Drosophila melanogaster: one gene and its partners. The protein of the gene in region 3 purifies or fractionates together with the protein of the main gene of each other region. This does not show direct contact. Each region holds a gene or a part of one and is shown on either strand. Other genes may lie near its edges.

What was found.
Region 1: the proteins of Naglu (region 3) and CG1092 purify together in Drosophila melanogaster (affinity purification with mass spectrometry, with the first as the bait; one large-scale study listed by BioGRID). This does not show direct contact.
Region 2: the proteins of Naglu (region 3) and CG11911 purify together in Drosophila melanogaster (affinity purification with mass spectrometry, with the first as the bait; one large-scale study listed by BioGRID). This does not show direct contact.
Region 4: the proteins of Naglu (region 3) and Cnx99A purify together in Drosophila melanogaster (affinity purification with mass spectrometry, with the first as the bait; one large-scale study listed by BioGRID). This does not show direct contact.

What each region holds. Positions count from the first base shown.
Region 1 is NT_033777.3:4,264,488-4,269,456, forward strand, and holds CG1092 (uncharacterized protein), read left to right. Parts: upstream 1-2,282; 5' UTR 2,283-2,486; coding exon 2,487-2,718; intron 2,719-2,773; coding exon 2,774-3,726; 3' UTR 3,727-3,829; downstream 3,830-4,969.
Region 2 is NT_033779.5:319,083-323,306, reverse strand, and holds CG11911 (uncharacterized protein), read left to right. Parts: upstream 1-2,058; 5' UTR 2,059-2,085; coding exon 2,086-2,919; 3' UTR 2,920-3,028; downstream 3,029-4,224. Other genes in the region: CG33127 (uncharacterized protein), read right to left, coding at 322-1,176; CG11912 (uncharacterized protein), read left to right, coding at 4,074-4,224.
Region 3 is NT_033779.5:8,407,713-8,413,954, reverse strand, and holds Naglu (N-acetyl-alpha-glucosaminidase), read left to right. Parts: upstream 1-2,086; 5' UTR 2,087-2,410; coding exon 2,411-2,668; intron 2,669-2,747; coding exon 2,748-4,826; 3' UTR 4,827-4,906; downstream 4,907-6,242. Other genes in the region: CG13398 (uncharacterized protein), read left to right, coding at 1-404; emb (embargoed), read right to left, coding at 6,031-6,180.
Region 4 is NT_033777.3:29,313,924-29,321,869, forward strand, and holds Cnx99A (calnexin 99A), read right to left. Parts: upstream 5,722-7,946; 5' UTR 5,665-5,721; exon of another isoform or gene 5,611-5,664; 5' UTR 5,452-5,610; coding exon 5,308-5,451; intron 4,690-5,307; coding exon 4,351-4,689; intron 4,218-4,350; coding exon 4,146-4,217; intron 4,047-4,145; coding exon 3,913-4,046; intron 3,589-3,912; coding exon 3,000-3,588; intron 2,938-2,999; coding exon 2,797-2,937; intron 2,707-2,796; coding exon of another isoform or gene 2,581-2,706; intron 2,443-2,580; coding exon 2,314-2,442; intron 2,247-2,313; coding exon 2,022-2,246; intron 1,957-2,021; coding exon 1,912-1,956; 3' UTR 1,331-1,911; downstream 1-1,330.

The DNA of each region.
Region 1 (4,969 bases), on a different chromosome or scaffold from region 3:
AATCCCAAATTATTAAGACATGATCCATTATCACATGTAAATTCCGAAAAATTGCTAAATATAAAAACTTCTACGTGGTTAAAATCAGATGCAAATGAAATACTTATTATTTCCCATATTCCTAGAGACATTATAAAAACTGCACTTTTTAACATCGTACCATATCCAGACAAAGATAATAATATACTTATAGAAAATGTAAATGATAAATATTATATTCAAGATAATCAAGTTTACAAACAAAACTCAAGAAAACCAATAATAAACAAATGTATTACAGGAATATTAAATCAAATACCAACAGAATGCAGATATTCAAAAACACATAACAATATTGGAATAACTTATGTAGAACCAAACATAATTTTAACTTGGAAATTATCAAAAATTGTATTAAATCAAAACTGTATAATTAATAGAGAAATTATAATAGAAGGAGACAATATAATAAAAGCTTTTAATTGTTCTGTTCAAATAGAAAACATATTAATTACAAGCACAACACTAGACTACACACAAACGGTCTATATCAATAACAATGTAACAAAATTAGAACCATTATCATATCTAAATGCTAAAGAAATAATTAAAGAACACACTAATACATACAACACATTACAAATTATTACATTAACTATACTTGCTATTATAATACTTACACTTATACTATATTTTATTTATAAATATAAAGGCATTCCCAAAAAACTAATTGTTAAATATAAAAAAGAGAATCCACAACAAATAGAACAACAAAATAACACAACAACAGAAAATATAAATACAGTATTTGATACTAATCCTGTATTGTATCCTAGAATATCCGCCTGAGGACAGGCTAAATTTAAAGGATGGGGAAGTAGCATATGTGCCATAGTATAAGACCACATATACTTACACACACACATACATAACCACATAGGAACAGCCATACACAAAATCATAGAATGCCTTAGGATATAAGTCATAAAATCATGTATCCAATAAGAACCCAAATTCTGGTGACAATAACAAATCCAGCCTACCCTAATGTAAACATTAACATCCGCTGCCGAATCAGTTATTCCCACCAAAGGGTCAAAACCGCTTACGCAGCTCAAGTTCTCGGCTGATCAGTACCCATGAGTGATCCACTCAAGAAGGCACCCAATCCAACAGACATAAACATCCGCAGCCGCATTCGCGACTCCCACCAGAGGGTCAAAACTGCTAACACAGCTTTAAGGGTCAAAACTTTCCACGTAGCTCAAACTCGGCTGATCTATATCCATGCGCAATCCACTCAAGAGAGCGCCTAATTAACGTAAACATAAATGAGAGCCTATGTACGCTCAATATGAAGAAGTAAATAAGCTCAGCCAAGGGTTTGCTAAGCGTTCGCTTTGCAAATTAGATTTAGATTTTATTCATACTTCAATTGTGTAAGACGTGAATTTGTCTCCGACATTCGCTTAAGTTTTTGATCAATAAAAATACTTTTTTTTTATAAACCAACAAATATAATATAATATATGTATATTATGTATGTATATGTATATTTAAATCATTCCTTTCATAAGCAACTGCACACTGTTGTCTACGCTTAGTCAGATATAACTCGTAATACTTGTGAAACGATGCAAAGCCCATATTCCAGAATAGCGCGATCGTAAAAACAGTGGGAGAGAAATTTTCCTGATAGGACTTGACATTCTTATCGCTTCGGAAATATAATTAAGCATAGGAACTCACTCACTGAATTAAAATAAGACCTCGAATTGAGCAATGCACTGTGGTGCGAGTGTAATAAGATCATATATAAATCCGTTCTAATAATTCAACAATATAAAAACAACAAACAACCCGAGAACTTTCGGGTGTTTTTGCATTTTCAAGTAAAAATGATAAAATAGGAATGTGAGCGTTTAATTGGTTTTTAGACCGTTTATATGTGCGCGATAAAATAAAAAAGGTAAAACGGTAAAGATTGATTATTGTGATTTTGGAGAACTGTTTGTAACTGTCTGCAACAAAACGTTCTTCTAAAGTCCGGATAAATTTTTGGTTAAACACGTTGAAGAAGCATAAGTTGAAAATGTTGAAAACACACCATAAAAACATATACTGAGTTGCACTAATAGGGCATTTTTCAATACTATCTATGCTTTTCAAACGTTCATTATGATAAAAATAAATTATGTCAATGTCAGCCCACAATCATTTAATTATTGTCCACTTGGACAGAAAATCTTTTTAAATATTGTCAAAAGTAATAAAAAAGTTTTTACTAAAAATTGAAACATTCAATAAGTTATTTTAGTTATTTAATACCAGGGGATACGGAGTTTTGTGCTTACATTTCAATTGAAGTTAAATAGTTTCGTTGCCCAGTGATAGACGTATTTGAAAAGTGACTCTCTCTCGAACTACTGTGCAACGAAATCCGACATCCGTTGAGGGGTCCGATAGGCTGGCGCAAAAGCTGGGTTGCCAGTGACTTGAGCTCTGCGATGACAACCTCAAGTCTTGCAATCGGCGCATCCGTAGCGCTTATTCTGTTGATGTTGACTGGTTCAGGGCATTGCCAAGTGGGATACGTGCGGCACCTGTCGGAGCTGCGGATAAGGGAACTTGAAAAATTGTCGGTTCGTATACAGGGCTCCATCAACACCGAAAAGTATGCCTGCGAGAGCTATTTCGACTACGTCTGTAGCCGCAATCGACCCCTCTTTTCGATCATGGGTAAGTGAGGAAAGCCTGTGTTGGGGGAGTGCCTAATGCATATACCCTATCCAAGGACACATGCCGCAAATGGGCGATCTTATGCAGTTGCTGACCGAGCTGCAGAACGATCCAGAGCCATTCGAGGCTAAGCAGAAGACGCTGGACTTCTTCATCTCCTGCAACGTGCACCACGCGCTGGAAGACTGCTATCGTGAGACCTATGAGTATTTCAAGCCACTTTTCGGGTATATAGTTACAAAAAACATGCTCAATGGAGAATCCCACGAGCTGGATGACTTTCTGGGCATTTTGGACCGCTTCGTCGTCAGGTTTCAGAAGGACAGAGAGTCGAATCCCATTCTCAGCAAGCTGGCCACGTATAAGCAGAAATTTAAAACGCCGCGAGTCTACTTCCATGCTAGAGACCTGAGCCGGGAGTACAAGGACCTGCGGATCTACCGGGAGAGCTACGAACACAACGTTCGCAATCTGGAGCAGCACAGAAAACTGAATTCAACATACGAATTGGGGGTTCAGCGCACCATGCTGGATTGGAGCATGTACCTCTTTCAGAGCCGCAACAAGCCCATGTCCTACTTCTACTCCACGTTTACGGTCCATTTGTACATGATGCTTTTTAATAGTCTGGAGCGTCAGCGTGATTTCACGCGGTTTCGCGAAGATGTGGAGTGTTTAAGGCTGCCGCAGTTCGTTAATGTTCTGGATGAGGCCAGAATGCTGGCTGTGATCTACTTAAAGAGCTTCCGAGCGGCCTGGATAGACTACAGCGCCTGGATCAACTCGCCTCCACAGAACAGTGGGATATACGATCAGGAAAATGGCGTCCTTCAAAAGTACCATCTTGACAACAAGCGTATATTTTTTACTCTTTACGCTCAGAACTTCTGTGAGTTTGGGAAGGATCTGGCCGAGCATGTCTTCTATCTGGGCCTTAAACAGAACAAGGACTTTTACGACATATACTCTTGTGGATTCCAAACGGAAAACCCTATGACTTGTGTTTAAAAGATCAAGACCATTTCTACCATATATTTAGTTTACGAGATACAATAAAAGCAATAACATTCTCATAAAGGTGTACAAACCATTTGAAAAAAATGGCTTTCACTAAAAAACAAGCGAAGTTAAGATACCCAAATATCAGATACCCGTTACTCAGCTAGTGAAAGAGCAAACGAGAAATTTCTTCCATATCGATTGAAGTTGGGAAAAAAATAAAAAAAAGAAATATATAATAAAAAATTTTGAAAGCGTGGGTCATGCATACGGGCGGCTTGTGGCCAAAAACTGAAATGTAAAACAAGAGAGAATGCTTAAGTCGAGTTGCACGACTATCAGATACCCGTTACTCAGCTAGTGCGAATGCGAACGCGAAATTTCATAATTTTTCTGGGATATCGATAGATGGGGAATAAAATGAAAAACAAATTAAAAATGGCTTAAAAGTGTGGGCGTGACCGGTTTGGAAGCTTAAGGTCGTTAGAGTGGACGTGAAAAAAATTGTTTGGCTAACCGATAGAATATTACAAGACTTATAAAATTATGAAAAAAATGTAAACATTTTGCAATAGTGTGGGCGTGGCAGTTTTGGGCGGTTTTAGGGCGTTAGAGTGGGCGTGGCAAATTTTTTTGGCAAATCGATAGAAATTTACAAGTCTAATAAAATTATAAAAACATATCAAAACATTTTTCAAAATATGGGTCAACAAACTTGCGCTGCCTCTATGTCTTAAGAATCTGTATGCTTAATCTCAACCTTATAGTACCAGAGATCTCGACGTTCACACAGACGGACAGACAGACGGACCAGGCCAGATCGACTCGGCTATTGATCCTGATCAAGAATTAATATACTTTTTATGGTCGGAAAAAATTTCCTTCTATCTATAAAATACTTTTAAACGAATCTAGTATACCCTTTTACTCTACGAGAAACGGGTATAACTGTCTTACACTAGACTTTGTATTCAAATTATAAAAATGGATATAAAACTTAAAACAAAGATGAATCCGAGATCTCGGAGTTTATATTGCAATGAATCTAGTGTACACTTGTACTCTACGAGTAAATGGTATTATTCAATTTACACTAAACGAATTTCATTGATCCAAACTCTGGCCATTTTGGATATTTTCAACGATTCATAGCGACCTTAGTCTTTTGATACCTTTAGTAAAAATTTAATTTACAGCGATCTGCAGGCTTTGTTGGTAAAACTGTAGGCCATTGTGGGGTTTCAAGCGAAAT
Region 2 (4,224 bases), 8.1 Mb from region 3:
TCGCTCTCGTCAGGGTCTGTCACCAAATTTGCAGTAACTATGATCTTACCAAATTTACCCATCTGACTAGAAAGTCAGCTTACACCTTACCGCTTACTCAGCAAATACAAAGACTCTATCATAAATCATAAATCGCCAGCTGATCGGCAATTATAAATAGTAGTTCGATTTCAGGCAATCAGCCGTCCACTTATCGAGCAATAAAACAAGGTTTTCTATTCACGTTAACGAGCTCTGTGATAAGATACGAAAACGCGCGGTGTTTACTTTAATGTACTGCTAGAGTATTACGCAAAGATCTCCCCTTCGACACCACGACTCTCAGTTAAGCTGGTAGTAGGCGCCGATCGTTTGGTGGATCCATCCAATGTAAGGGGGTACAGAGGTGTACACCGTTGGCCGATTGGCATATCCGCACGGCATATAGCTCCAGGATCCGAGGCCCACCAACTCCGCCGGTCCAGTGATGGGCCAGTAGATCAGGGGAGTGCCTCCGTCTCCGTAGCAGGTCTTTACCTGAGAGCACACCTGCTGCGCCGTCAGAGGAGCGTCTGCGGGCAGCAACTCCTTGCAACCCGTGCTATTGAGTAGGGGAGCGAAGGCATACTGCAACTCTTTGGAGTACTCGTCGCCATCGGGGTCGGTGAGTCCCCAGCCATAAGCAGCAGCTGTCTTATTGCTGTAATCATCATTGATGTCGGGCAGGGCGATCTGCTGAACTCGAGCGTTGTACTCGAAGCTCTCAGAGACGTGGAGCAAGGCTATATTGTCACTTCCGGCGTTTCCATTGAAAGACCGATGCGTTGAGGCGAAGTCGACGTAGCGCACTTGGGCGGCCGTCACGTTCGACCGGTTGATGATTCCAGCGTAAACGGGTGTTCCTACGGCATCTCCGTTGAAGGTGCGCAGTTCATCGACACAATGAGCAGCCGTCAGGAGCCATCGTTTGCCAATGATGGATGCCCCGCACAAGTGGGTATAGGTGGCCCTTGTCAAGGACAGGGACACCAGGTAGGGCACATTGTCCACCCCCTGCACATCGTAGCCATCTATAATCAGGGGCTGGATCTCTGCGTGAACTTGTTCTGTATCCCTCAATGTCAGGTGTTGAATGTGCGGAAGTTTAGCCGCTCCGGCCAAAGCCAAGAGGGGCAGCAGGAAAAGCGGCGATAACATCACTGATACGGTTGAGAATTTGAATCGTCTAAACCGGACGCCGAAAAGCAACTGGCCTTTTATAGTACAAGACCAAAAAGCTTTGCCATGCAGAGGAAAGAGAGAAAACCCCTGGAGTGCAGCAGTAACTCAAAGAACTAGTTCGATTATAGAAATATTGGACTAACCTCTGATACCGGGAATTAAGAGATTACGTTTTTAATGTGGCTTTAAAAAATTACATGGAGTGGGACATTCAACTTCTCCACATTACCTAACATATATGCATATATTGTATGTATGTATGTAGCATGTAAAATATAATTTAAGTTTAAGCTCCGTCTTAGGCTACATGTACTATTTTAACCTCCTGGTGCTGTGGCATTTAAATTTTGCAATTAACCTTTGAAGCGCGTAAGAGGACACAATGAAGATCGCGGAGTGCATCCTTGCATGCACTAATTGCCGACTGTCCGGAACAAGCTGCAACCATGTGTCATTAGGGCCACATGTCCCATGGTGTGGATGTTGTCCTGAAAATGTTTACGCAAACACGCGGTCACTTCAGGGGTATGAAATCTCTTCCTCCTCTCTTAATTGGCTTTGAACGCCAGCTGGGAGAACCCCATCGAGAGGGGTCAGTATTTATAGCATCCTTTGAGACTGGGCCGTGGTCGACCTTGCCGTGTCAACACCTCGGTTAGCACATTACGCACACCCACGTGGGCGCAGATTTCCAGGGCTTTTCCCATTCAAGAACAAGTTACTATTAAATACGCGTACTCATATCGGACAATCGTAATCAATTCAGACGAAATTAACTAATCGTCAAATACTATTCATAAATCTATCTGCTTATCTCTAGTGGTGGGCAAGTATAAAAGGTGCCATTAGTTGGTAGTCAGTATACATTCTCCGTAAATCTGCAGAATGAAACTGATCACTGTGACTTTGGTTATTGCCCTTGTGGCCGCCGCCCAGGGAGCCAAGCTCTCCGACAAGCTGGCCAAACTCGTGCCTAGCTTTGCGACCGGCTTCGTGATCAACGGCACGGAGGCAGAACCCCACTCCGCCCCGTACATTGTTTCCCTGGCGACCAACTACTTGAAGCACTCGCACATCTGCGGAGGCACCTTGATTAACAAGGACTGGATTGTGACTGCTGCTCATTGCATTTCCGAGCCAGTAGGCATGAGCATCATTGCCGGACTCCACACCCGTGCCGAGGTGGATGAGCTGACCCAGCAGCGCCAAGTTGACTTTGGCCGCGTCCACGAGAAGTACACCGGTGGCGTTGGGCCCTACGACATTGCCCTGCTGCACGTGAACGAGTCTTTCATCTTCAACGAGTGGGTGCAGCCCGCCACCTTGCCCAGCCGTGAACAAGTCCATGAGGGAGAGACCCACCTGTACGGTTGGGGACAGCCAAAGTCCTACATCTTCTCGGGCGCCAAGACCCTGCAGACTGTGACCACCCAAATTTTGAACTACGAGGAGTGCAAGGAGGAGCTGCCGGAAAGCGCTCCTATCGCTGAGTCCAACATCTGCTCCTCTTCCCTGCAACAGAGCAAGTCTGCATGCAACGGTGACTCCGGCGGCCCCCTGGTTGTTGAGTTCACAAACGCCCCCTCCGAGCTGATTGGCATCGTATCCTGGGGCTACATCCCCTGCGGACTGGCCAACATGCCTTCCATTTACACCAAGGTGTCGGCCTACATTGATTGGATAACCAATATTCAGAGTGCCTACTACAAGCTCTTCTAAACAAAAGGAAGAAACTATTAGTCAGATCTATTAGCCAGGATCGAAATCGCTATTGATCAGAGTCATGATCGATTGTTGAATAAAAGCATCCAACTAAAACTTGTCTTGTAACTTTTTTGCGTTTATTCTTTCTAAAATACCATCCTCTTCAACGCAAAGCAAAAACGTTCAAAAAGAAACTAGTTTTGTACACCCCTCCGATTGATCGATTGTGAAATAATTATAGGCAATGAAAGTCCAGTCTCTGTTTGCTTTTCTACAATTTATTGTGTCTGATTACCCTTGAATCGAACTGTAATCGGAACTGGATTAAAGACGGTCCCGAACACACCATTTGTCTCTTGATTTATGGTTTCTAATATAAGCTCTGGAAAAGCCCAGACTTTTGGAGGCGTGTGCCATTGATAGACGATCCAGTATCGAAAGTCATGCACTCGACCAATCAAATCTAACCGGACTGAAAGCTCCTTATCATTGCTATTAAAAAAGTGCTAAATAATATTGAACAAAGAGATTGGAAAAGCTTTACAAAGTTCGAATTCTAAGAATCAACATGTTGCTAAAACAACGTTTAATACAACAAAGAATACAAGGATGACGCATGAAAATTTACAACTTTAAAAGTTAAATTTTTCTAGATGCTTTTTGGCGCTACTAAAAATAATTCCCAAATACATTTAAGGTTGTTTTTAGAAGACTCAATAATATTTACACTTATGTTTTCATATTTCATCATTTATTATCAGGGCATGCTAGCTTCTAATCATTGTTTGCCAAATACACAAAGTCTCTACTATTGTTTTAAGACAAATACAATTAACACACTCAGACAAAGTAACCTGTATGTGAACAAATAGAAACTTGCCATCCAGATCGGGGCCAAAAGCCAGACATGTTGGCTGCAAGGAAGCTTCTTCTGTGCCTTAAGTGCATGCATGTGTTGAGATATTAGAACTCGTATCAGTCAAAGGCGCAAGAGCAGGACAAAGCGAAATCATATCGGGGCCAAGAATATGCCGGTGATGATCGTAAATCTCTTCGGTGATAACGATAACTGGTGCTTGGAGTGCTTACAGTTCAAATTGGAGATTGAAGAGACCTATATAAGGCGCTAGGCTATTTGGCAGTGGAACAAACTCGACAGAGAACTCAAAATGAAACAATTCGCGGTTATATTCGCACTGGCTCTGGCTTCGGTTTCGGCCATTTCTGTCCCTCAGCCGGGATTCCCCGAAGGTCGCATCATCAACGGCTATGAAGCGGCGAAGGGAGAGGCGCCCTATATTGTGTCCTTACAGACCACAT
Region 3 (6,242 bases):
ATCTTGATCAGCCGCGAAGTCCCGTGGGACCGGCGGGTTCATCAAAGGCGATCAATGGATTTGGCAGCGGCTTATCACTGATCTCCACCCCAGCAGCTGTCACCGCACCAGTAACTCCAGAGGCAGGTACTACGTTGGACGTTCCCCCACCGCCCATGCAGACCCAAAGCCTGAATAGCATCTCTGCTGATACGGGAGATACGCAGGCGAAGAAGGTAACAGAATGCTCCGGGACACAAGGCTATTCAACCATCGACTTCATCCGCACATACGCGTTGAACAAGTCTTCGACTGAACTGCCAGAAACAGTGACGCATCGACAGCATTCGTCGCACGATGCCGAGGAGCTGAGAATCACCAGGCACAGCAAGTGCATACGAAAGGCTTACTCCATAAGTGAGTGAATTGGAGGCAGCAGGAATAGGATTGGTGGAGGAGACCGCGAGTGCACAACGAATTTACAGAAAGCATAATGGACACCAGATCGCTGGCGAAATGGATCTAACCCCACATTTATTTGTGCCAAATCTGAGTACCAAAAAGATGTAAGGAGCTTTTGAAAGAAAAATCATAATGCCGGGAAGTAAAGAGGACAACAGATCACGAAGAAAGGAAAAACAGCCAGATCGGAAAGAGTACAAAAGTAAAAGAACAGTGGCCACAAGATTTGTTAGGTCCTAATTGTTAAATGCTCGATTTAAAGTAAACCAACTAAAGTGACCAACTGACCAACTATGAAGATGAAAGCGTATAAAAACACATGCTGTGCAACTTAAAAGTTGAGCAGATCAAATGGATAGCTTGTTAAAAAATATCGAGATTAACTACTAAAATTAACCACACATGGGATCAAACAGGATTTTATTGATACAGCATACAATATTTTAATGTTTCCAAATGACGTTTTAACTTTTTTGCCCACAAATTTTCGTGATGCTGTTACTTTTGATTTTGAAAAGCATACTTAAGAAGGAGCTAAGTAACTTTCCTACTATTTTCAATGGATTTTCAAGGGAATATGATAAAATTGAAATGGATCTCTCTCGGATTGGGGAGTAAAAAGCTATGGAGGTTGAAAAGAACGTGTTGCACAACGAATTTACTGCACGAGATTGTGGTAAAGTGAAATTTGAAGAGTGATTTGTCCAAAGATATGTTTGCTTCCAACTGCGCCAAGCTAAAACGCAAACGATTAACAATATTATAACCAGGTTGTTTTTTGTAGTCAGTACAGTAAACTCACACAGCCAAAAAACCAAAACACATAGACATGAATTGCATACGTACATAACTTGTATTTAAGGATATTAACAATAGCATTACTTAGCGATTAGTTGATTTGTGTAATTGCCAGCGGCTGTTTAGAGCTAGTCATTTTTGATTTTGTGCATATAAAATAGTGAGCAACACGAAAGGCTTTTAACATTAAAATTGTACATGGTAGATATGGTAAGAGTAGCTCATAAGCACCAGAAGATACATCATCGACGTACACGTACGTTTGTTGTTGGCCAAGGCTTTGAAATTGTATTCTGTTGCCAAACAAAAAAAAAAAAAAAAAAACAATGGTAGAAAGCATCGCGTTGCATTGTCCGCTGTGAGTTTATAATTTTTTACATATATATATCGCTGAATTGTTATTCAATTTGTTAGGAGTTATATACACTGAGCATTCATCGTTTCACACGAACGAGAAGAAATGAATGTTCTTTCGTTTACATGTACTTAAAATCGCTGCTTAGTCGGCGGCATAAACTAAATTATTGTTAGTGTCTAAGACGAAATACGTGCAATAAAGCTCAAATGACCCTGTATATATACTATATATTTTTTGATATTTTCCGAGATATATGGATTTGCCTTGCGATTTTCAGTTAATTTCTTAACAAATGCATTATAACACGGATTACAATATAAGGATATCGACGAAGACCAACATTTAAATACCATTCTAAATTGTATAGTTTCCAAAATCTGACGTTCTTTGTTTTTTGTTGCATAAATATCAAACAATTATTTTAGTTGATAATATATTTTTTACCTTTTCATTGCTTACCAATTAATTTTAAATCAGAACTTAATATTATTTTTAAAACTCAATAAGGGAAAAATTGATCTACAAACTTCTTATCAAAGTTGTAATATACTCTTAGTGAGTGTATCCGATGATCCCTCGCATTTCAGAACTCTACTGCGTCATTGTTCAATCTGGCGATAAGAAGAAAGTGATCGGAATCCAGCTGCTCTTCTCTTCCATTGTGTTCTCATCGGGTTCACTTAGCGCTCTTTCCTCCGTTCCCGCATTCTTCGGGAGAGCCCCAATTGCGAGAGAAGGAGAAGCTGTCAGTCAGTCAGTCACTTGGGCCCCGTTGACATTGACACACACGGCAGTAAATAGACGGACGGAGAAATGCAGCTGAATTGGAAGCTGGCCTTGGCCTTGCTAGCGGTGCTTTGCCTGCAACTCGCGCAGGGATCAGAACTTAACTGGGATGCGGCTTCAGGTCCTGAAATGGGACTCCAAATGGCTGCCCACTTGGCACCCAGCACACCCAAAGATGTCCAGGAAACCGCAGCCATGGCGGTAATCAGTAGAGTAATCGGCGAACGATCTTCTCAATTGTTTAAGGTGCAAGTCAATAAAAATATGGATTTACGAAGCTTTCAGGTAATAATATTTATTTATTAAGTATTTACTTTTAAGTAAATAAACAATACAAATGTTTCAATCTTTAAATACCTTACAGATTAGCATGTTGGATGATGGCCGGATTCTGCTGATGGGATGGGATGGTGTTTCCGTGTGCAAGGCCCTCCATCACTACCTCAAATATGTTTTAAACAAGGACGTGGATTGGTTCAAGATGCGCATTGAGTTGCCCACCAATTTGCAGCTGCCCAATGTGACCATCGAGTCCAAGTCAGCAAGCCCGATTATCTATCACCAGAACGTGTGCACTTGGAGCTATAGCTTTGCATGGTGGGGCATTGAGCAGTGGCGCCGTCACCTGGACTGGATGGCCCTGATGGGCATCAGTCTGACTATTGCGCCGGTCCAGGAAGCCATTTGGGTGAAGGTGTACACGGATATGGGCCTCAGGATGGAGGAAATCGACGAGCATCTGGCTGGACCAGCTTTTCAGGCCTGGCAGCGCATGGGCAACATACGGGGATGGGCGGGACCACTGACACCGGCATGGCGACGCTATCAATTACTCCTCCAGCAGGAGATTATCACTGCCCAACGCAATCTGGGCATGAGCGTGGCCTTGCCCGCCTTTGCTGGTCATGTGCCACGTGCTCTGAAGCGTCTGAATCCCGAATCGACGTTCATGGAAGTGCAGCGATGGAACCAGTTCCCCGATCGATACTGCTGCGGTTTATTTGTGGAACCCACGGAGAATCTTTTCAAGGAGATAGCCTCGCGTTTTTTGCATAATATCATTACGAAATATGGTTCGAATCACATCTTCTTCTGCGATCCCTTCAACGAACTGGAGCCACCGGTAGCCAAGCCGGAATACATGCGTTCAACGGCGGCGGCGATTTATGAATCTATGCGCGGCATTGATCCTCAGGCCATTTGGTTGCTTCAGGGCTGGATGTTCGTGAAGAATCCCTTTTGGACCACGGACATGGCTGAAGCTTTCCTCACGGCCGCACCACGTGGTCGCATTTTGGTGCTCGATCTGCAGAGCGAACAGTTTCCGCAATACGAGCTAACGCGCTCCTACTTTGGGCAGCCCTTTATATGGTGCATGCTTCACAATTTCGGCGGCACACTTGGAATGTTTGGATCAGCGAAGCTGATAAATTCCGGAATAGAAGAGGCGCGTCGCTTGCCCAACAGCAGTTTGGTGGGCACGGGAATCACACCCGAGGGCATTGGCCAGAACTATGTGATGTATTCGTTCACCTTGGAGCGCGGCTGGAGTAATACATCCCTAGATCTGGATAGCTGGTTTACGAATTTCTCACACAGCCGGTATGGCGTTAAGGATGAGCGTTTGGAGCAGGCGTGGCTGCTCCTAAAGAATAGCGTCTATTCCTTCCGTGGTCTGCAGAAAATGCGGGGACAGTATGTAGTGACGCGCAGGCCTTCCTTCAACCAAGAACCCTTCACTTGGTACAATGCAAGTGCAGTGCTGGATGCCTGGCACTTGTTGCTGACCTTCAGAGCCATCATACCGCTAGAGGATAACAGATACGAGATATACGAACACGATTTGGTGGACATAACCAGGCAATTCCTGCAGATCAGCGCAGATCAGTTGTATATCAATCTAAGGTCGGCCTATAGAAAGCGACAGGTTTCGCGTTTCGAATTCCTTAGCGTCAAGCTGTTGAAACTGTTCGATGACATGGAGCTGATCCTGGCGAGCAGCAGGAATTTTCTGCTCGGCAACTGGCTGCAGCAGGCCAAGCAAGCGGCACCGAACACTGGGCAACAAAGAAACTTCGAATTCAATGCGAGAAACCAAATTACCGCCTGGGGTCCTGATGGTCAGATCCTGGACTATGCGTGCAAACAGTGGTCCGGCTTGGTGAGCGACTACTATAGGCCTCGGTGGAGACTCTTCCTGGAAGATGTGACAGTGGCTCTCCATGCTGGACGACCCTTTAATGGTACCGCTTTCAAGCTGAAAGTCTCGCACGAAATCGAGCTGCCTTTTAGCAACAAAGACGACGTTTATCCCGTGACGCCAGTTGGCAACACCTGGCTTATTTCCCAGGACATTTTCGAAACCTGGAAGGGCTACTCTAAGGACACGCTCTTTCTACATAACAACAGATTATCAGTGCCTCAAAAAGCGGGACCTAAATAATTGTATCTACCTATAGTTCAATACAACTGCCACAACAAACGTTTAATAAACTTTTCTCTAAAATTGACTTTAAATATTCGAAATAAAAATCTTTTGACACTAGTTGCTCAAGGATTAAACGAAAACATTTCAGATATACAGATATCCCACCAAACTTTCAAAATTGATTGGCATCAATCCAATAATGTTTCAATCAATTGCGAAATTCCACGAGATTAGATACGTACACTATATTACTATCAAAATCGTTACAATTGAAACTTAAATGTGGCTTTGCATCATACATCAATGTAGTTTTAATTGATTTTTATTTAAATTAATGTACAAACTAATTATGTAAAAATTTAAACGATTTAATACGCATTTCTATGGTTACTTTTGTTTTTCTTGATGTATTTGTGTTTTGGGTATTTGCGTTTTAGTTTTCTTTTTTTTTCACACATTGCATGAACTCTATTCTGGTTATGATGCCGTGCTTTCTTGATCGTCTCCTTATTGCGGCGTCCATCGTCTTCAACGTCGGGTTAATGCTAGATTTATGCAAAAAGATTGCATACAATTTTGTTTACTCCTGCCAGCATCTGATCTGTTTAAGTCACTACAATTAAATTTTTACTTTAAGGTTTTCTTCATCTTAATATTCTTGTTTCCTTTGCTCATTTTTGTGTGGGTTTCTCTGAGAGGTGTGTTTGTGTTTGTTCAAATATTCATTCATACTCGGATCTTTCTACAATTACTCATTTAAAAAATTCCAAACAAACATTATTTTATATTAGTACAATAAAGTTTGCATCTTTCGTATCGGTTGCGTGTAGTATTATTATGACGTTTTACAACTATATAATGTGGATAGGGGAGCGGGAGTTGGGAACTGGCTGGGCATCTTATTTATGCTGGTATGTCGAGGACAATGCGCAAAAATATGTTAATCATATTAATGTATGTAATTGCGCACGAATAACCATTTACTCATTCACCTTTTAACGCAGCTATATCTGTATAGGTGTATGTGTATGTGTGTGTATGCAAGTGTTGTGGGTCTTGTGTGGATGTATTTATATATATAACGTACTTATATGCATTCAATCAAACAAACATTTATACTTTCTCGCTCGAGAAACACTCATACATCACCATCCTTTTATCATTCTCAAGCATCAACTAAAACATTCTAGCTCAGTGACATCGACATCGACATCGACATCTATTCGTCCTGCATATCCTCGGGCAACTCGTGCGGATTCAACATTCCTGGAATATTACGCTGCATCTGATGTTTATTTGACTGCTCCTCGGCCAGAGCCGCTTCACGCTCTTCCAAGTACAGATCGGAATCGTCCTCGCCGGTGGCCTCCTGCAATTCAATTTATATACATTAAGGTAAATGATATTTACTAGCAGTTGGCCAGCTTTAAT
Region 4 (7,946 bases), on a different chromosome or scaffold from region 3:
GGCCATTCGCGATTTGATCGGATAATGTCCGGCTTAATTGCACGGAACTTGCCAAAAACAGCGCATAATGAGGGGGACCCATCGTATTCATGCGGCGGAATATTGCAACCCTCAGGGGCAACCCCAAGATTCCATTCTCGCATGGGGTTGAAATGGGGGGTCCCTCAACTGCAAAAACCTTACATATGGCGTTTTATTTTGCTTACGCATCGATTAGCATCTAGCTGCAATAAAGTCCCCCAAACTTGGGGAACTCCCAGGAGTGTTCACTGCTGAGCCATGCCAGAATAAATACTTTTAACCAATTCAGCTCACTCGGAAAGAAGGCAGCACTTAAAAGCCCTGCAAATTGGGGATTCTCAACTCTATTTCCGACGTTTTATTGTGCTCGAAGGGTTCTGGGAAGTCGCAGCCTTTGACAAACGAAAGTCAAAATATTTTTATTAAAATTAAAATGCTTACGCAGACAAAGGTTTGTGGTTCCATTTTTTCATTTTCGGTTGCAATGGCAACCCTTGGAGCCTTTGTCTATGCATGAATTATTATGGAGCATACCCCGGCTGACGCATCCCATACATACGACGTATATTATTAATATGCAACGCAGTCTAGCCGCAAAATTTTAATCCTTTTAAGTGAGGCCGCCAGACATCGGGCAAATCGTTTAATCTTTTTATTGAATAGCCCTTGGAGTTTTGGGCAATCGAAGGAAAGAGTTTCACATCTGTTTGGCGGACATAAATCTAATTTCGAATGTCCCGCCTGTGTGTGACTGACTGAGACATCCCAACTCCTCCTTTTGGCGAATGCAAATCGTCGTCGGCTTACTGTTGTCATAACAATTCCATTAACGAGGACTGTCTGTCTGATTTGGCATATTTATGAGCTTAGGAAATTGAATTGAATTATTCAGAGCGACAAAAAGGAGGCCTCTAATACATGATGGTATCATTTGCTGAAAATGAATTCTATTGGCGGGGATTTCCTTCTTTCTTGACTCGCAAAATGATTGTTAAATGTATTCTATACCAGATCGATCCAATCGGCCAAATAATGAAAACATTTTGGCATTTGGCATTTGGCAAATGCCCCAAAACCGCACGAATGCAATGTGTCTGGTCTGGTCTGGTCTGGTCGGCGCCCCACGCACCATCGAGCATAATAAATCCGATTCGAATCTGATCTATCCCAACATCAGGGGTTGACATTTAAATTAACACCCATGTGGTATGGCTGCATGGGGGTTGGAATCAGGACCTGTGCGACAGGACTTGGCTCAGTCCTTTCGCTTAGCTGCTGGCAGTTGGTTGGATTCAAAGGCTCTTGCTTTGGTTTTGACATTTAGTTTTATTTTTCGCTGTAAATTTTCATCGGTACAAATGAAAATGGAAACTTGAGTATAACTAACATACTATTCAATTTCGTTTAAATTACATAATATTAAACTAGATGCTTGCCATTAGATTTATCTGCTTTAGTTCCCTCTTTGTTTGCTGCTTTAGTTTCAGTTGTAGTTGATTTGTTTCCCTCAATTGTCTAGTTGGTGTTTTCCATTTTTACACAAATCAAAAGGAGGATCATCACTCCAACTAAACACTATAAAGCGGTGCCATCGCGGCTGGCTCTGTGTAAGGGTGCTATATATGTATAGGAGATATGGGGACGACAGAGGGTCGAACACGACAGAAATGCAACGATAATACGGCAAAAGTACGTACAGAGTTGACTAAACCGAAACGAGTGTGTGTGTGGTGTGTGTGTGTAGTTTGTGGGAGATGTCGGCTGCCTTGGCGAACAAACATTTTGGTTGTTGCTGCTTCGCAACCGCTGGCTTTTGGAATTGGATTAAGTTTTTTTTTTTCTTTAGAGTTGCAGTGTTTGTTTTCGGATTCGGCATGTGGGGATGCCCGCTTACTCCTTGCGCGCTTGACGCTTGCGTGTTTTTGTGTTAGATTCCTAAAGAGAATAACGTTGAGATTAGTTCTGGTGGTGGACACAAGCAAGCTTATTTTTGAACGCACCTCAGTCTGTGCGGGCTCTCGGCTCTCCGCCGCCTTGGACTCCTCTTCGTTATCATCTAAATCAGACTTTTGGTTCTTCTTGGGACTAGCGGACAGCGGTGTGCTCTCCTTGCTGGTATCGCCAGCGGCCCTTTCGTCGCTCTCCTCCTCGGCCTCGGGCTCATCGTCGGGCTGAGGATCGTCGGACTTCTTGGCCTCGGCAGCAGCCTTTTTGGCAGCCGAGTCCTAATAGCAAAAGTGGGATTAGTAAATTCCTTATGAAGATCTCAAGTGAAAGCTCGAGCATCATTACCTGACTCTTAGCGGTACCAAATCTACAGTAGATGGTGAGGGCAACCAGCGCCACAATGGCCACCAAGCCAATGCCCCAGATCGAGGGATTGGCCTTGGCTAGCTCGACTACCTTATTCACGAATGAGTCCTATTAATGAGAAAGCCAAAGAATAGCAGTAGCAATTACAGGTGCACGGTGCAGGGCAAATATGAGAGGTGTTCATGTGGTTGTACTGTAGGCACTTCTAATTAAAATTTGAAAGCGTAAGACAAGACCGGAGCCAACCTCTTTGGCGCGTCGGTAGAGATAGAAGACATAACAACTGGCCGGAATGAGCAGGTACACGAAGTACAGGGCCCACCAGCCGGGCTTGTAGTTCATGCGGCGCATTAGGCGGTGCCAGAAGGTTTTCTTCGAATTGGATAGAGAAGTCTCTCGATTACGAATCCCTGTGTTTATTTGTGAAGGGAAAACGGAAGAGGTTAGGGGTTTTAAACTTACCGATTCACGATCGATGTAGCGACGCTTGATGTCGAAGCTGTTGGCGGCAAAGTCACGGGCCACCTCCACGTCGTCCGTGATGATTAGGTTGTCGAAGAGAATATCGCTGGACATGGACCACAGTTCCAGACCCACAGCGCTCTAAATAGAGTTAGTTTGGCTATAGCAAAGTGGACAACGAAAGCCATGCAAATTGCACTTACGATGGGCGTCATTTGGAAGGGCTTCAGATCCTCAAAGAAGTCTGGATTGGGAATCTTCCTGGGTGCCCACTTGCCCTGGTAGTTGGGGTTCTCGATCATTGGTGCACGCCACTTGCCCTTGTAGTTGGGATTGGGGATGAGCGGAGCCTTCCACTTGCCACAGCCGGGAGCCTTCTCGCACACTGGATTGTCCACCAATGGAGCCTCCCACTCGCCATCGATTTCGGCATCCCAATCCTCGGGTTTGGTGGCAGTTGGATCGAAAATCATGTCGGGCTCATCTTCGAGCCAGCCATTGGGCATGACGGCATCGGTATCGGGCAACTGGGGTGGAGCATCCTCATCCCAATCCTCGGGCTTGTGGGCAGTGGGATCTGGGATCTTCTCTCGCTCATCCCACGATTCGGGCTTGTGGTCATTGGGGTCGTCGATCTCTGCCGGCGGGTTGACTGGTGGCTTGAAATCGGTTAGCAGGGAACCCTCATTGATGATCTTGTGGTCAACGCGAATCTCAAAGCTGTTATCGGGACGGACCACCAGCTGGTAGAGATGGGGTAGCTTGTCCTTGAATGGCTCTTCCAAACGGTTCCTGAAAGCAAAGAACAAAAGAATATTATTCATCGATGGGATTATAAATATACGGTTTATCTGCCTCTTCAGAAATTCAGCTCATCAATGGGGGCAATAGTCCACCATCGGTGACGAAGAGCCAAACGGGTGATAAAGGTGAGCAAAGGTGATTTCGGAGATATTACACGTATGCGCAATGTCGAACACCAATTTTGTTTCTATACAACGCTCGGAAACTTTCAAGCAAGATGGTTAGAGTGGTGATTCTATTGATAGCGATAACGCTTGAACGAGCTGCTCATTTCCAATCTGCCAAAGAGTTGCGTTCATTTAATGGACTCACTTTGGCTTGTTGCAGTGCTTCTCGGTGATGGTGCCATTAATTGGATTGACGTGCCGGAATATGAAGTGCATTTTCACATCGTTGCCGCACTTGTCCGGTCCAAACATGATGGTATAGGGTGTCTTGTCATTGAACTACGAGTAAACAGATTCGGTTTCGGGGGTTGTTTACGATGTATGTTCTTTGGGGTTCAGGCGAGTGTGATCTATGAGGGCATTGGCCCCCGCACTTACCGCTTTTAGTTGCTCCGTGTCTTTTCCGGCGGACAAAAGCTTCAGATACGAGCCACCGCACTCCTGACCCTCCTAAAAACAAAAAAACAAAAACAAAAAAACGAGAATAAGCCGGGGGAGAACGAGAATTGGGTCAGTAAGCGGGTATTAATTGGATTTGCCCGGCGGCTGATGCAATCCCAGAGCGTTTCGCTAGGTGACGAACCTGCAACGTGACCTCGTACTGCACCACCAGCGGCTTGTCCGACTTGAACTCGAACGGTTTGCGGAGGGGGGCGGCTATGGCCGCGTGTTTGGCCTTCGACTTGAGCACCAGACCCAAGTCGTTAGCCCAAACGATGCGCTGCGGCGACTCCCAGTTCCAGATGCCGTCGTACTTGGAGATCTCCTCGGCGATGTCGTCCTTCTTGGCCTGCGACAGCACCCACCTCTTCCTGGACTCCTCCACGTCGTCGAAGTGATCCGCGAAGTGGAACTTCTTGGCATCGATAACCGGGCTCTCGTAGGCCAGCTTCTCATCGCCACCGATGACGGCGGGCTCCTCCTGCAAAGCATATGTGGAAACATTAGATAAGGTGCCATAAAATCCGAAGCACGCGGTTGTCAGTGGGGAAAGTGATAAAGAGAGGGAGAGAAAGATGGGTGGCCAGCATGGGTTTGAATTGGAGAGCGCTACACCTGGGCCCGCCAGACTAGTTATAGCTATATAATAACATGTTTTATGTTGCTCTTAGCTTGACCTCATCTGTAGCAGTAACTCCCCTAGAAACATAAATGACTGGCATAATTTCTAGAGAAACAAGCACGTTAAATAGAAGCTCTGCTCAATAAACCTCTGATGTAACCTGTGGAGCAACAGATTAGCGCATTCTTGGTGCTGCCATGGGGAGTTGCTATCTGCTTGACCTCGTCTGTTGGTAAACAGTTTTATTTTCCCTCGCATTCGGATTTGTTGCTGGAAAAGTGAGACACACTCGCATGCTAATTGTGGGTCATAAAGCGAAGAAGCCGGCCGCACCAACACCCCCCTCCCCCACAACCACCTTCCCCTACCCTCACAGCAATAGCGTTTCGCCTTTTCTTCTAGTAGCTTCCACTGACGTGTACTTTTTTCTCTCGTTTTTTTTATCTTACGAACCGCATCGTCGGACCAACTACTCACCTGCACATCCTCCACATAACCATCCTCGAAGTCGTCCGACTCCGTGTCCAAATCGGCGGCATTGGCCGCACTCAGCAGCAGCAAACTGCTGGCGAAGAGCAACGCCAGCGTTGCGGCCCGGTTTCCTCCCATTTTCCACGCCATTTTCACCCACTTTTCGCTCGCTCGCTGGCTGCCTGGCTGGGATTTAGTATCCGCGGAAAACCAGGTGGTGGACTCACTTGTGCGCGCTGTGCTTTTCAACAGTTTTCCCCCACTGCGGTCTGTTGCGGAATAACAAGAATCGAGATCTGGCACGACGAACTATTTGTAATTAAATTAATGTAAATTATACATTTTCTCTGCTGCGCTGCCTACTGTGTTCTGTGCTTCCTCTTCGCCTGCTTTGGTATGCCGCCGCAAAGGACAACTGGTCACACTGTCGCGTTGCGTTGTACCCTACCGTAGGGTATATATAGTTTTTAAGATACTTACTCAAGCTAGAATCTTTAATAATTGCACGTTCTTAGGAAGAGCACACTTTCAGCGGGACCAGAATATAATTGATTTGATGATTATGTTTGTGCTAAATAAAAGTAAGGAATATGTCAGATTTATTAATTTTATATACTTATTTGCTATTTAATAAATTAAGAATACTTTTGTTACCTTAAAACCACCCTCATGACCTCCCTAACCTGGTTTTGACCTAGAAAGTCTTAGTTTTAAAATTCATTAGAATAATCAAATAAATAATAATTACTATGTTATATCAACTATTATAATTCTCCCTATCATTTTTAGGATTAAAAATCTGTTAGTCTTAAGTAACCAAGACACATTGTAAAATAAAATAATTTAAGCAGATCAAATTAAGTTGCCGCATGGGTAACAGTGCGTTGATCAAATAATAAAAACATCATCGTAATCGTTACCTTAAGCATATCGATATGCCTCACTCCAATCGTCGTTACAGGGTTTGGAACTCCGATAAGTTTGTAGTACAGACTTACCCCCAGACGCTAATTGAATGTTGCATACTTTTCACTGCTAATCATAATTAATACATGATCATAATACAGAATGAAATATATAAACAAATACAATGTTATAAATAAAGAATAAATGGTTACAAGGGGAAAGAAAGCTGCATGTTTTCATTTGAGACATATAAATTCGCATAAACCACCATAAAATAATCGTTTTTCAGCCATAACTTGAGAAATATTGTCCGAAATATGGATTGTCATACCTTGTTGGACTCGTAATCGAACTCCCCTTCCAACCAAAATCAAATTTTGGAAAAAAAATTTTGAGCCAAATTTTGCAAAAAATGATGATGGTACCCCTTACAAAAAATTCAAAAATGGCCAAAATATGGATTTTGGAAAAACGGTCAAAAAGTTATATGCCCTGTTAGTTTAGGTCAAAAGATGTACAAAAAAGTTAGTTTCGTAGATTTCTGACTATTTTGAGCCAAGTAGTGACGAAAAACGTCTAAGAAAATACGTAATTTCCATATTGACAGTTTTGCCTTAATAAATTTGCACGGAAATTCGCAAACCAGTTAAAGCCTATTTTTGTTAATTATGTATGCTAATTTTTAAATTAATTTCAATCGGAATTAGGATTATCTAGGACTCGTAGCAGGCACCACTCTAGTATTTTGTTATTTTCCCTCGCCGACCATATTGAAATTAATATTTGTGCGATGTGCGATTTCCACTGAAATATTGGCATACATTTATTTTCCACTGGACATATCTGAATCAAACACTCCGTGGCATGAAAGTAGTCTTGCATGTTGCAATTATTTTAAAAGCCCGGCGGCTCAATTAATGCCCCACAACGGGAATGGCTAAGCCCCCCAATAAACTTGATGGCTGGCGGCAAAAGTTTCCCTTTGCCACGCGTGGCTCTAAAAAATAAAGTGGCATGCATTTGAGCATAAAATTATAATAAAAATTCCTAACTTATTGGCAGGATTTGTGTGGGTGGGGTCCATTCGTTGCCACGCCTTCTTTGTGCTGAGAAAATAGGTGTATAAATTTAAGAAAATAACAATAAAATTATTACAAATTAGAAGCATTGAAGGAAACGCACATTTTCCACACAAATGAACAGGTACATATATAATATTCAAGATTAACAGATTTTTCCCAGTGCACATCCTTTAACTGTGGCAACTTATCTGCGGCACGCGCAATTCTGCTGCTGCTTCTATTGCTGCCACTGACAGTTTTTCTTTCTTTTTTTTTGTTTGCAACTGCATACAAAAAGCTTTCTGTTTAATGGAATATTTAACACAATTTAAAAAGTTTTTTTCTAAAGACAAACAAAGACTCGGAAGCACACATGTGGGTGGGTGGTGCATATACATAATAGTGGGGGGCGGGGGGTAGGTGTGTTCGGAAGAAGAGGCAACTTTTGTTGGAGCCTCCGGACTGCAGAAAACTAAACACGTGCGCACAGACGTTTCTTTTTTTTTTATGGAAATTGTGTAATGACAGTTAATGAGGGTACTACATAAACAGACACAAGCACACCTCCAACACTCACACATGCAGCTTTTTAAAACGCCCCACCTGAGCATAAACAGCCAGTGTTGTCAAGTGTTCTATTAACAACGAGGCCAGCTTACCAACACTTCAGCCGGATTC